Linked DNA regions of Cricetulus griseus. The protein of the gene in region 1 purifies or fractionates together with the protein of each later gene. This does not show direct contact. Links are inferred from orthologs where the notes say so. Each region holds a gene or a part of one and is shown on either strand. Other genes may lie near its edges.

What was found. The genes of interacting proteins can lie anywhere in the genome.
Region 2: the proteins of Cav1 (region 1) and Trpc1 purify together in Homo sapiens (affinity purification with western blotting; 3 studies listed by BioGRID and IntAct, with this or other methods). This does not show direct contact. The link is inferred for Cricetulus griseus from reciprocal best matches to the Homo sapiens genes CAV1 and TRPC1.

Annotation. Positions count from the first base shown.
Region 1 is NW_023276806.1:209,232,460-209,238,497, forward strand, and holds the start of Cav1 (caveolin-1), read right to left. Parts: upstream 4,117-6,038; 5' UTR 4,008-4,116; coding exon 3,978-4,007; intron 3,462-3,977; exon of another isoform or gene 3,331-3,461; intron 2,586-3,330; coding exon 2,421-2,585; intron 1-2,420. UniProt on the Homo sapiens protein: May act as a scaffolding protein within caveolar membranes. Forms a stable heterooligomeric complex with CAV2 that targets to lipid rafts and drives caveolae formation. Mediates the recruitment of CAVIN proteins (CAVIN1/2/3/4) to the caveolae.
Region 2 is NC_048597.1:204,330,146-204,336,370, forward strand, and holds the end of Trpc1 (short transient receptor potential channel 1), read right to left. Parts: intron 5,908-6,225; coding exon 5,706-5,907; intron 5,432-5,705; coding exon 5,237-5,431; intron 3,668-5,236; coding exon 3,440-3,667; 3' UTR 1,759-3,439; downstream 1-1,758. UniProt on the Homo sapiens protein: Forms a receptor-activated non-selective calcium permeant cation channel. Forms a heteromeric ion channel with TRPC4 or TRPC5 that has reduced calcium permeability compared to the homomeric TRPC4 or TRPC5 channel.

The DNA.
Region 1 (6,038 bases):
TTAAATGACAAGCATCCAGCCTAACATCCCAATGTGACAGGTTGATTGGTAACTAGTAAGATATAAGAATCTTGCATTTTAAAGCATTTTATTTATTTTCAAATTCTAGTCATATGTAATAGGCATAGGAATGAACCTAGACATGTTAGAGGAAGAATTGTGCCTCTGAGTTTTAACCACTTCGGCAGAAGAAATTTAAGAAAATATTTAAATCACAGTATTTTGGGGTAAATGTATATATGCAGAAAAATCACTACGTGGGATGGCAAAGCTCTACAAGAAAATGATTTTTATTGGCAATCAATTCTATACTTAAACTGATACTCTTGTCACCAGTGGACTGGGTAATTATGCTGTGTGTTACTGAAGCTCAAGTGCAGAGCACACAGCCTTTGGAGGCTTGCCACGCCTCCATACTTGATGTGTAGGCCTGAAAGGATGTGGACAATGAACCGTGCTGTTCTTCATACTTTAAATTTGGGCCTCGTTTCTTCTCTACATAGAGGGTTTGTTTAGTTGTGTTTTTCATCTTGATATGAAGGTATTTGTGAAGAGCCGGGGACTCTCTTGCCAGACACTGTCCAGCAGAGAGTTCTAGGATGGTGGAAATTTTCTAGGTACTAGTGCAGGAGAGGGGAGGAGCAGACTGTGCAGGGGCAGCCTGGGTCTCTCTTCGCAGAGGGAGTGTTTTCTGAAGACATCCTCCTAGGCGGGGCTTCTGCCTAAATCCTGTCACATTCTTTTCTCAAGGTGGGTTTTTCTTGTCTGCTGGATTTGCTCCTGGTTCTGTGAGCAAGTAGGTAGGCACTAATGTAACTCCTCTAATTTCTCTAGTTTGAGGTTTCCCCACACTTGCCCTTGAAATGGTATTTTGTAAACTGCTATTTCCTCCGAGCCTGCCATGCCTTTTTTTCCATCTGTGTTGAAGTCTTTTTCCCAGTGGGGCCTGCTTTCTCCACTTAGTCATGCTGTGTGGAGGCCCACATCCACACTGCTGGCCTCTCTGACTCATCCCAGGAGGCCGGTCTGCTCCAGGGAATCCTGCTCCGAGAACAGGGCAACAAACAGGGAGCTGATCTGAGATCCTGGAATCTGCTTTTATCCTTTGAGTCCCCCTCCTTGACCAAAGCAGGCAGCACAAGAAGGTTGAGAAGCAAAATGTCTTTTCCCCTTTAGGGAAGTGTGGCTAACAAACAGATTTTAGCAAGCTTAACTTCCAGTTTATGGGATGCCTTCATCTCTAGTTTTAAGTATTCCACAATCTGGCCAGGAGAAAGCAGTCAATTTTCCTTTTCTCTCTACCAGCAAAACAAGAGAGTGAATTTTCACAGGTACACTTTCCCTCCAGTTGTAGATTAAACCATTTCCCTTTCTAAAATATATTATTCATAAAGGTGAAACTGCACTGGAGCTCCTCCCATCCATAGATAGGAGTCTGTGGGTGGAAACTCCATGAGCTCCTCAGTGGTGCCTGCATTAGCGGCTGGGCAGGACAGGGGCTTCCTTCCCACTGGAACCCCGAGGCCAGGATTTTCCTTGGCCCTCCAGGCCACTCAGAGGAAATCCTCTGCCAAGGACAGCTCAAGTCCAGTATTTCTCAACCCACACGGACTCAGACAATAAATTCCTTGAGCTAGAATTGCTAAAAGGGTCAAAGTTGAATAACAAAATGATAATGAAAATCAGACCACTGTGTCAAGTCTACATTCGGCCAACAACCCAGGAAAGTAATGTATTTTAAACCCCAGCAAGTATATCCTCAAAGTGTAAAATGGAACGCCAACCTGAATGTTCTGCTAGCCCAGGGCAGGCTGACCTTGGCTGTCACCACAGATGCATCTTTCCACATCTAACTAGAGGGATCCAGAAGTTAAGAGGTGGAAATTATTTTCAGTTTGGTAAATTGGCTTAGCCTTGTACATGTGCTGTGTTTTTATAGTTAAAACCCTATTCATATATATGTATATTATATATATGCAATTGCATACAAAATATATACATATAAGATAGTTTTAAGCATTTCCACTCATTTATTATTTTTAATCTAATCACTTTAGATTGCTTTAGCTGAAGGAATATGCTTATACTGTATTCTGACCTTCACCGTGGTGCACACTATTATTTACCTGTCACTGGACTATTAACCTGGCAATGGACCACAGTCATCTTCTTTTCCCAAGTAATGTGGGGGCCCACCTGTGGCTGAGGTTCTGTGAACTCCCACAAGGCTCACTTTAGCTAAATTTCTGTTCAACTAGCTAGTAGGAGGAGGCAAGGCAGATGAGACCTTTCTGACAAGGGACCAGGGGTTCACATACAGCCAAGCCTAGGAAACAGTGCCAGTGTGACAAAGCTATGAAAGGACGCCCAATTACTTGAGAGAGAAGGGTTGTGGGACCCAGACAGCCACCATGGCTTACCTTGACCACGTCATCGTTGAGATGCTTGGGGTCCCGGTTGACCAGGTCAATCTCCTTGGTGTGCGCGTCGTACACTTGCTTCTCATTCACCTCGTCTGCCATGGCCTTGTTGTTGGGCTTGTAGATGTTGCCCTGTTCCCGGATGGGAACGGTGTAGAGATGTCCCTGTGAAGGCAGCCGGCCAAGCCAGGGGAGGATGGCAAAGGCAGTGGGAAAAAAGTTCAGAAAGAAAAACAAGCGTCAGAAGTCAGCCTGTTGTCGGGGGAGCCTGGAGCTCCAAGTCTCGGCTAACTTCAACCCTGAAGGCTTTGCGCACAGAAAACTCCAGTGCCGCAAGCTTTTTAAGAGGACGGAGGGAAGGACACCACACCCCTCGGTACCAGGCAGGGAGCGCCTGCCTCCCTCGCCGGCCGCCAGGGGTCAGGGCGAAGCCCCATGCTCGCCCTCCTGCTCCCTGCAGCTCCTGGCAGCGACTCCCCAGCCCAGGGGGTTCGCGTTCCTCCTGCTCTGTACCCCTTCTCTCCTCCAGGCCACCCGCGTCCCCAGAGCCTCACCTGCTCCACTGACCCGTCCTGACCCTGTTAATCCTGTTCCCGATCCCTTCCACCGTTATCTTTAAGATCCCACTGGACCATACAGACAGGGGCTGGTCCCATCTTCTCTGTCTCTCCCTGCGTCTTCCTCCGCACCTGCCGCGTCCCCTACCCTTTAGCTCCTTTTGCTTCACGGCTTTCCCTAGGCCGTGGGGGTGGATGAGGTGCGTGGATAGCTATCATACTTTCATCTCTGAGCCGAGGCATATGCCCGACCCCTCAAAATGTTCTGGAAGACATCTCACCTGAAGGACTCCCTGACCCACCCTTACTTAGATCACCCCCAGGCTGTCTGCCCGAGGCTGAACGGTAGTCACCTTTGGGAACCGAGGTCTCCACCTTTATGCTATCTGAGTGCCAAGAAGTAGTTGCCAATGGTGGTGGTACTTGTTGAGGAAGGAGGGTCCCCCACCTCGGAACCCCCCATCCCGGCCGCCGCCCAGGGGCAGAAATTATAGAAGTGCTCTAGAACTTTGCTCAAAGTGCAACACGCGCGCGCCACCGCCCAGGCCAGCCACTTTAGGCTCCTGATGGGGACTGTCCTTAGAACTGTGGCCAAATGACGCCACCCCAACACACACACACACACACACACACACACACACACACACACACACACTGCACCAGCTCTCAGCCTCCCAGTAAGTAGGGGCTTGTCCGGGGTGGGGGGGGTCTTAACGGTGCCATCTGAAAAACTTTTCTAAGTCCGGCCGACTACCAACGCGGCACCCCGACCCTCCTTTGCCCGGTGGGCTCCATTGGTCGCCTCTCCAAAAGGAAGCCTTAAAACACCCCTGGCTTTTCTTCAGCTCCCCACCCAGGTCCATTCCTCAGCGGTGCCAGCACGAGGGGAGTGCTGTGAAGGTGGAGAGAGGGCTGGGGCCAGGAAAGCAGCCCGAGCATTTGGAGTGGGAGATAGCAAAAGCAGGCACTTTAGAGCCGGCGCGCCCTCACCCAAGCCTACCTCGGAGTCTACGTATTTGCCCCCAGACATGCTGGCGCGTGGCTGGCTGCAGGCTCTGAGGAGGTTTCCCTGGGCTGTGATTTAAGAGAACTGAGGAAGGAAGATCTTGTATTGTATAGGGGGGAAAAGGCGCTGGCGCGGGGGCGGGGGGGCGGTGGCTGGGAGGGAGCCTCTTGGCTGTCCGCCAGTGGTTTGTTCTTCTCTCAGTTGGCTGGGACGTGCTCTGCGCCGGGTCTAGGCACATCCCCAAGGTTCTGGCAACAGAGGGCGGGGAGCGCCCGCGGGGAGCTGAGAGCCTGTGAGAAAGCCTTCATCAGCGCTAGGCTGTTTGGGCAGATATTTTAGACCCGGGGCAACGTTTTCCCAGCTATAAACCAACAGAGAGGCATCCCTGGGAGAGCGAATGTTTTCCCAGTGCATCATCTCAGCAGGGGTGGAGGGAGCATAAGAGTCTGCAAAGATGCCCAGTATGGGCATCCGGCGCGGCAGGAGGAATTCTGCCCTGTCCTAAGCTGCTTCCCAACTTCGCCCACATTCCATTATCTCCCAGGACTGGGCTGTCTCTGACTGGGAACCCGAAGGAGCACTTTACATATAAACACAAGGAAGGAATCTGTGTGGGTGCCGGTAAAGTCATTATCAATCTCTACAAAAAAGAAAATGAAATTTCTATCAACAGGTTGTGCCGTAATCATAAGTACTTTGAACATTTTCAACTGTAGAAAATTTTAGTTAGAGGTTCAGGTTCGTTACCAGAGTGGGTTTTTCTTGCTGGCTTGAGATCAAATCCGGGCATTGGGCATTCTGCCTGGAGGTAAACACTCTACTACTAAACTACATCCTCAGTTCTAAAGGACGCCTGCCCAGAAAGATATGCTTAACTGTGAGAGGAGATGGGTTTTGACAAAATGACTAGACTTTTTTTTAAGTTAACAACTAATAGATCAGTTTCAAAATCTGCCAACCTCCTGTATTTTATTGTAAAGAAAAATCAAACAGACGATAGTTGCTTCTTGCTAAAGAATTGAGTAACTAACACAAGGCAGCAGGTATGAAATTCACACGCCATAAACTGAGAAGGATGTTTTTTACCTAAGCATCCATACACAAACCCTTGCATAGCACACTGGAAAGGGCAGAAGATAAATTTAAAAAATGGCTACCAGGAGGCAGGAACATGGGATCGGGGGAAGATGAAGAGGAAACACGTGTCTGAGGATAGAGAATGACACCCCAAAACACCTGATCATCTGGCTGGAAAGAAGACATGGAAAGAGCAATGACATCAGCAGATTGGGCCCTTGCTGATGGGGACAAAAGGCAATCCAGTTTTTGAATTAACTATTTTGACTAGCATGTGATGACCATATGCTAATGATGTGATATTTCAATGCTTGCATGTATTATACTGATCAAATAAGGGTGATTAGTCATACGTTGTAAAAATAAAAGGATCAATTTTAACTAGGGACAGCAAGTGTGATAAACATCACTTATGCTAGCTATTATTCACCATGAGATTAAAGATCTTCCAAAAGGCAAATTTCCTTGGTTTTATGTCTGCTAAATTACCTTTTCTAAAGTCTTTCATCAACCTGTGTGCCAACGCGCATGATAGACCACCAGAAAAAGGATGCTCTTTGATTCCAAGTATCCTGCATTGGCCACTTGAGATGATCTCTTGGAGTGCGCTTTCTCTACTAACTACATTTCCTTTCATCGATCGATATCTGCTGCAAGGCAATTCTGGGTCTGTTCTAGGGGAAATGTGGTAACTGGTTCCCACCTAGTATTACTCAGTTTTCAATTGCTGATGAGTAATTCTGACTGTGAAGAAGTCAACAGGAATGGGGAGAGCTTGTCTTGCATTCCAGGCAGGAAGGGAAACCTCAGGAGAGGTCCTCCAGTGAATGCCTAAGTCATCCTCAGCAGAGGGAAAGAGGGAAAGCCACCTCACGGGCAAACCCGTAAGCAACAACGATGCTTGGCATCATAACGACCAGTGAAGCGTTGTCAATGCCAAGATGAATTCCTAATGAATGGAAAAACCACAAACTGTTT
Region 2 (6,225 bases), on another chromosome or scaffold:
GAACACTCTGGTTCCTCCTGGTTTGGCTTGGTATTGCCTGAGGCTAATGTGGCTTTTCTTTGTGTCTGACTACCTCACTGACCACTCAGGCTCAACAAAGGTGAATAGACAAATTAGTTTCAAAATGCAATGCTTTTCTATGTATCTTGCCCAATGCATACAGTAGAGTTCAGGATCTCAAGTCAGTTATATAGCAATTGACAAATTAATTCAAATGCTAGCTTTTCATCCACTAAATTAAAAGCTTGCAGAGATTATCAAAGATTTCTTCCAGTTCAACATGAAGAATAGGATTAGAGCACATACAGTTTTGTGTCTAATTATATTCGATCCCTGGAATCTTTACCCACATAAATCATGGAAAAGTTTCCTCTCGAGGAATCTGTGCCATTCATCACTAACTCCATACTAAAGTTGTAGCATGCAGGGTCCAGCACTGGATAGAAACATTGATGAAGCAGGGTCTCTCTTCCCTGTCACTGCAGCTATCTAGCCTGAACGAGCTTCCAGGGGAAGTCTCCTGTCTCCCACCTCTCCCATTTTACCATAAAAATGCTGGAATTACAGACACAGACCACTGAGGCTGGAGCCAGTTTTGATGTGATTCTGGGGGTCTGATTCTGGGGGCCTGCTGAGCCATTTCATGGGCCCCTTAAACAACCTTCTTGGTGGAGAAAAGCAGAGAATGAATTGATTGCTAATTCCAGGATGAAGAGAATGGAGCTTGTCTGTAATTTTGATTGCCTAGGACACTTTAAAAAATAAGCCTGCTGTTTTACTTGTTGTGTTCCTATAGTTTAATATGCATCAGAAACCATCTGTCTTGCAAATGGCTACATTAAAGCATACAAAGAGAACATAAAATATTTCCCAATTTTTGTGTGGTGTAGCTGGTGTTCATCTTCAAATGCAGATAAAAAACAGAATAAAGGAAATAATGTGAAATTATCAAATGAAAGTCTTCTAAGAATGTCCTCTAGAAACAGTATGTTGACACATTGTGGGAGGGTGTGATGCCACAAAGGGGACATTGACTTACCAGTGAGAAATTCAGAGCAGCTATTATCCCCAGTATTTTCTTAGTGTAATTTTTCTCTTTGTGTATGTGTTCATGGTTGCATATGCATATGGAGGCCAGAGGTGTTCAACTGGAGGGGTGTGTGTGTGTGTGTGTGTGTGTGTGTGTGTGTGTGTGTGTATGTATGTATATATATATATATATATGTATATATATATATATATATATATATTGTGTGTGTTGTTTCATTTTCTTGACTATGCATATGTGGAGGTCAGACAGAAGTCAATGCACAGTAACTTCCTCTATCACTCTCTACCTTATTTTCTGAGATGGGCTCTCTTACTGAGCCTGGATCACTACTTTAGCCAGACTGGCTGTCCAGTGAACCCTGGGGTCCACATTCTTCAATTCCCAAAGTGCTGGGGTCACATGTTTACACTATCATGTCTGGCTTTTATGTGGGTGCTGGGGATCTGAAGTCATGTCCTCTTGCTTGCAGAGCAAGCACTGTACGCCCTGAGCCATCTTCCAAGACTTCCAAGTCCCCAGCAGTCACATGGTAACTCGCAACTGTCTGTTACTCCAGTTCCAGGGGATCCAACACCTTCTTCTGGCTTCTGTGAGTACCAAGCACATGCATGGTAAACAGATATACACAGGCAAAATACTCACAGGCATAAAATAAAGTAATTAAAAAATAAAAAGCAAATAATAGTAAGCAAAATACTAAAGCTCTATCATTTTATAATCTAATGTCAAATTTTATTCACTTTTTTCTTACAGTATGCTGTCATTCAAAATATACTTCATCAGTAATTCATGCACACAATAGGCACTCTATAAATTTTTTTAATAATTAGGTTTTTTTAGAATGACTAAAAATCCTGATGTAAAATCCCAATTGGGAAGTGCATAATTCCATTGTAGACAAAATATATAGCTTTACAATAAACATTTTTGTAAGAATTTACCCAAAAGAGGGAACACTTAAACTTGAACATTAAAAACAAATGCAAAAAACAAGATGAAACCTAACACTAGATTACCCAGATGCCACCTGGGTAGGTGAAAAATCACAGACCAAGGGCTGCCTGCACCCTCACACCCTCAAGGCCAGCTGACATTGGGCTAAGAAAGTAACCATGTGCATTGCTCACTGAATGCCGCAAGAATGTCTACACAATAGCTGGGGAAGCCTTCAGCTGCCCTTATATGAACACTGAAAAGAGGTCAAATACACTTTATATTTTCAAATTGAAAGAACAAAGCTTTACATCTCAAGCAGGAGGCACAAAGTCACTTTTCTAGAAGCTATGTTGAACTCTATGGCTAATACTTCAGAAGAGAGCTCAAGAACCTGCATGAACTTAAAGGAGCTTTTTTCAAGGCCCCTGATGCTCTCCAGCCAAGCCCACTGTGACCACACATGAAGACAAGTAGTTTATACTTTGTAACTTATTCAAACTTGAAAAATTAGAAGGAAAAGTTAAAACTAACCAAATGCCTAGAGAAGTAACTTTGCAAATGCATAAATATGAACAAATATTCTATGGCTAAAAGATGTCTACTATTTTTCAAAAATCACAGAATTCTATAAATATTTAAATACATGAATTACCTCAATATAGAGAACTATATATAAAATATTAAGTAAAAAATTAAAAATATAAAATCATTATAACCATGTAAAAGTAAATATATTACACAACAAAATCAAGGTGAATTTAGATTAACAGAACTAAATATTAATTTTTTGTTGTTTTTGAGACAGGGTTTTCTGTGTAGCCCTGGCTGGAACTCACTCTGTACACAAGACTGGCCTTGAACTCAGAGATCTACCTGCCTCTGCCTCCCGAGTGCTGGGGCTAAAGACTTGTACCATCATGTCTGGCTTGAATTCAAATATTTATTAGAGACTTTTCTTTGTTGCTTAAGATTATAACAAAAGAAAAATAGGGTATTTTAGATAAAACTATACTCTTAAACAATAAATACTGAACTCTGTGTGAACTCCTAAAACAAGAGATTTTAAACACCATGAACTTGACATTTCAAGTGTCTCTTAAGGTAGCTGCATTTGGTGATCTTCATTTTATAAAAGGGAGTGGGCAATGTGTACACTGGTAGCTGCCCCTCCTAAACATTACAAATCTTAAGCACTGACAAGCTACGAAAATCAAATAGCATGCTAACAAAACTGTTTACTTACTCTGTTTTGCTTCTACAAAAAGCCACAGACAGGTTTTTAAAAAACTAACTCTATATACATATTTTACATTACATATATTTATACTATAAATATTTATAGAATGGCTTTTGTGTAATTGCTTATGTCCATATATATTTTATTAGTTTAACTATAAATACAATCTTTCAGATTTGTTATGGAAAATTATTTCTACAAGATTTAGAAAATGATTAATTTCTTGGATAAAACATAGCATATTTAGAAGTCCGAAAGCCAAGCAAATCCCTTATTTCATTTCGAAATTTTGACAGATCTTGGCGCAGTTCATTGAGATTCTCCACGGTTGCCTGGTCTGTACTCTGCATCTTCTGTCTCATAGATGTCAAGTAACGATGCACTAGGCAGCACATCACTTTCTGGTAGTTCTCGTCTCTCTTCTGTTTCAAGTTTCTCCACTCCTTTGAAACAAGCAATCACATGGTAATAATGACAGCAATGTATGTGTAAGTACATGCATACATATGTAAGGAAACATGTATATACACTCATATATAGATATATATTTGCAGTACTAAGGAATGAGCTCAGAGCCACATGCATGCTAGGCAAATGTCTGCAATCAAACTATCCTCCAGCCTCAGAGACAATATTTAAATGAGATAAATTTTAAATACATTAATGGGTACACATTTTCAATGCATTTAGAGGACAGTTTACTTTGGTAAAAATCATATTCAGTACATGTTTAAAAATATAGCCTGTGTATCTGTTTCATTCACTCTACTTTAGGCAATTACATTGAAAAAATGTAGTCTTTGTAATGCTCAGTCTACAACAGAGATTCACAAACTACCACTCCAAATCAATAGCCAACTTCCTGTCTTTCTGACATTGTGAGCTAAGAATGGCTTTACAAATGAATATCTGTAATCAAATTTATATGGGCATCTTAATTTAACTCTAATTAAGCAAAATTTTCACTCTCCCACAGGGAATTGCTTTTCCTAGTAATTTATTACCACGACTGCTACTTACATTTTTAATTTCATCTACAAGGTTTTTGGAAAAATTTTCTCTTATATAACTTCCTAGATGGTGTTTTTTGTTTTATTTGGCTTGCAAAGTATAAAATATTACCCTTTGGTGTTTTAGGAAACATACCAATCCCCAGTTTACAAGCAGCACTGAGTAATTTTCAAGACCCCAAAACACTATGAACTAATAGTCGTTCTTTAAATCTATAGTGAAAGACTATGGGATAAGAGTTCATGTGTTAGGGAAATTTAAAAACTAAGAAAAGAACCAAAACCAACCTCCAAATCCTTAGTTTTCTTTCTTATTCTCAATTATTTGTTGAATCTTTATATTAGATACTTCCGCATTCATTAGGGATATAGTGGAAAACATGTCAGCATAGCCCTTATCAATGCAGCATATTTGTGCTTTAAGAAACATCTGTAGGTCTTTAACAAAACCTCAATTGTTTGATTTTGCCAAAAAGATTTGGGGTCCAGATGCTGGGGTGAAAACCTGAAAGCACCCAGATGACCTTTTTTTCTCAGGTAACATCCCAGAAGCCTTCCCACTTTCTCCTACAGGGTCACAAACAAGACTTCCTGTCAACTGGTTGCTTGCTCTGCCTTTTGACCTATGGATGGCTTTATTTAATCCTGTTTAAAATATTCAAGCAGAAAGCTCTTGTGTTAAAGGTGTGTGCCAGGGCTAAGCCATACCACAACTAGAAACATGTTTTTCCAGTAAATAATGAAATCTAGGGGTGTGATCAATCACAGTGTGATCAAGTATTCTGCAACAAACATCTGTATTGGTTATGGTAGCATACACCCATCATCCCAGCCCATGGTAGCCAGACAGGAGGATTGCTGCAAACTGATGCCAGCCTGGTCTACATAGAAAATTCCATGCCAGCCACAGCTATATAGTCAGTAAGACTCCATCTCAGAAAAATAAAAGTGAAATTAGCAACTGTAAAACTGTGGTGCAATTCAAACCATTTAATTTCTCACCTTCAAACTGTTTTGCCGTTTGACCTTGCCTTTTGATGTATGAGAGCAAACCCACTTACTGAGACTACTGATCATATAGCAGATAGTCTTTGGTGAAGGAATAATGTTGAAAGGCGGGGGCAGTGTACATTTGTCATCAAAGTAGCTAAGCCACAGCTTTGCTCGAGCAAACTTCCATTCTTTATCCTCATGATTCTATAGGTAAGGAAAAAGCAGCATAGAATAAGAACACAAACACAAAGGTAGATGATATGGGCAGGTTGGGGAGATACTGATTAAAACTGCCTAAATGTCACCACACCTTATAGATTAAAAAATTGGTCCAAGATGTGCAAATTATTAGACATTACATTTTAAAATCTATATTTAATTTAAAAATACTATTCCTTAATTCTGCAATCTTCAGTTATTTGATTTCATACATTTTATGTGATTTGGCGAGAATATAAAGCTTTGAAAGACCACTTACTGCTATCAACTGAAAGCTTTTGTGAAGCATGGCTACCAGCAGCTTTGTAAGCACAATCACAACCACGACGTTGTACGTCCCAACAATCACAGCTCCAACGAAGGACTGCAGTTCTTCTCCATAGCTAAACCTTGTGACAAAGATGGCCACATGTGCTAAGGAGAAGATGTACCAGAACAAAGCAAAGCAGGTGCCAATGAACCTGTAAGGGCAAGTAGATTCTGTTTAAAAAAGAAATTAATTATCAAGAACAGATAATGCATTTATATCAAAATTATACATATGAACCATTAGTAATTCTTGCATAATACATTATAAAAATAATTTTATTGCTTTATTTTATTTTCATAGTACATATAGTCATATTTTCAATGTTTTTACGTGTGTGTATCTGAGTGTATATATGTGCATCACATGCATGCGGGATGCCACAGAAGTCAAAAGAAGGCACCAGATTGCCTGAAATTGGAGTTAGAGTTGTGAGCCACCAGGTGGGTGATGGAAATCAAACCTAGGTCCT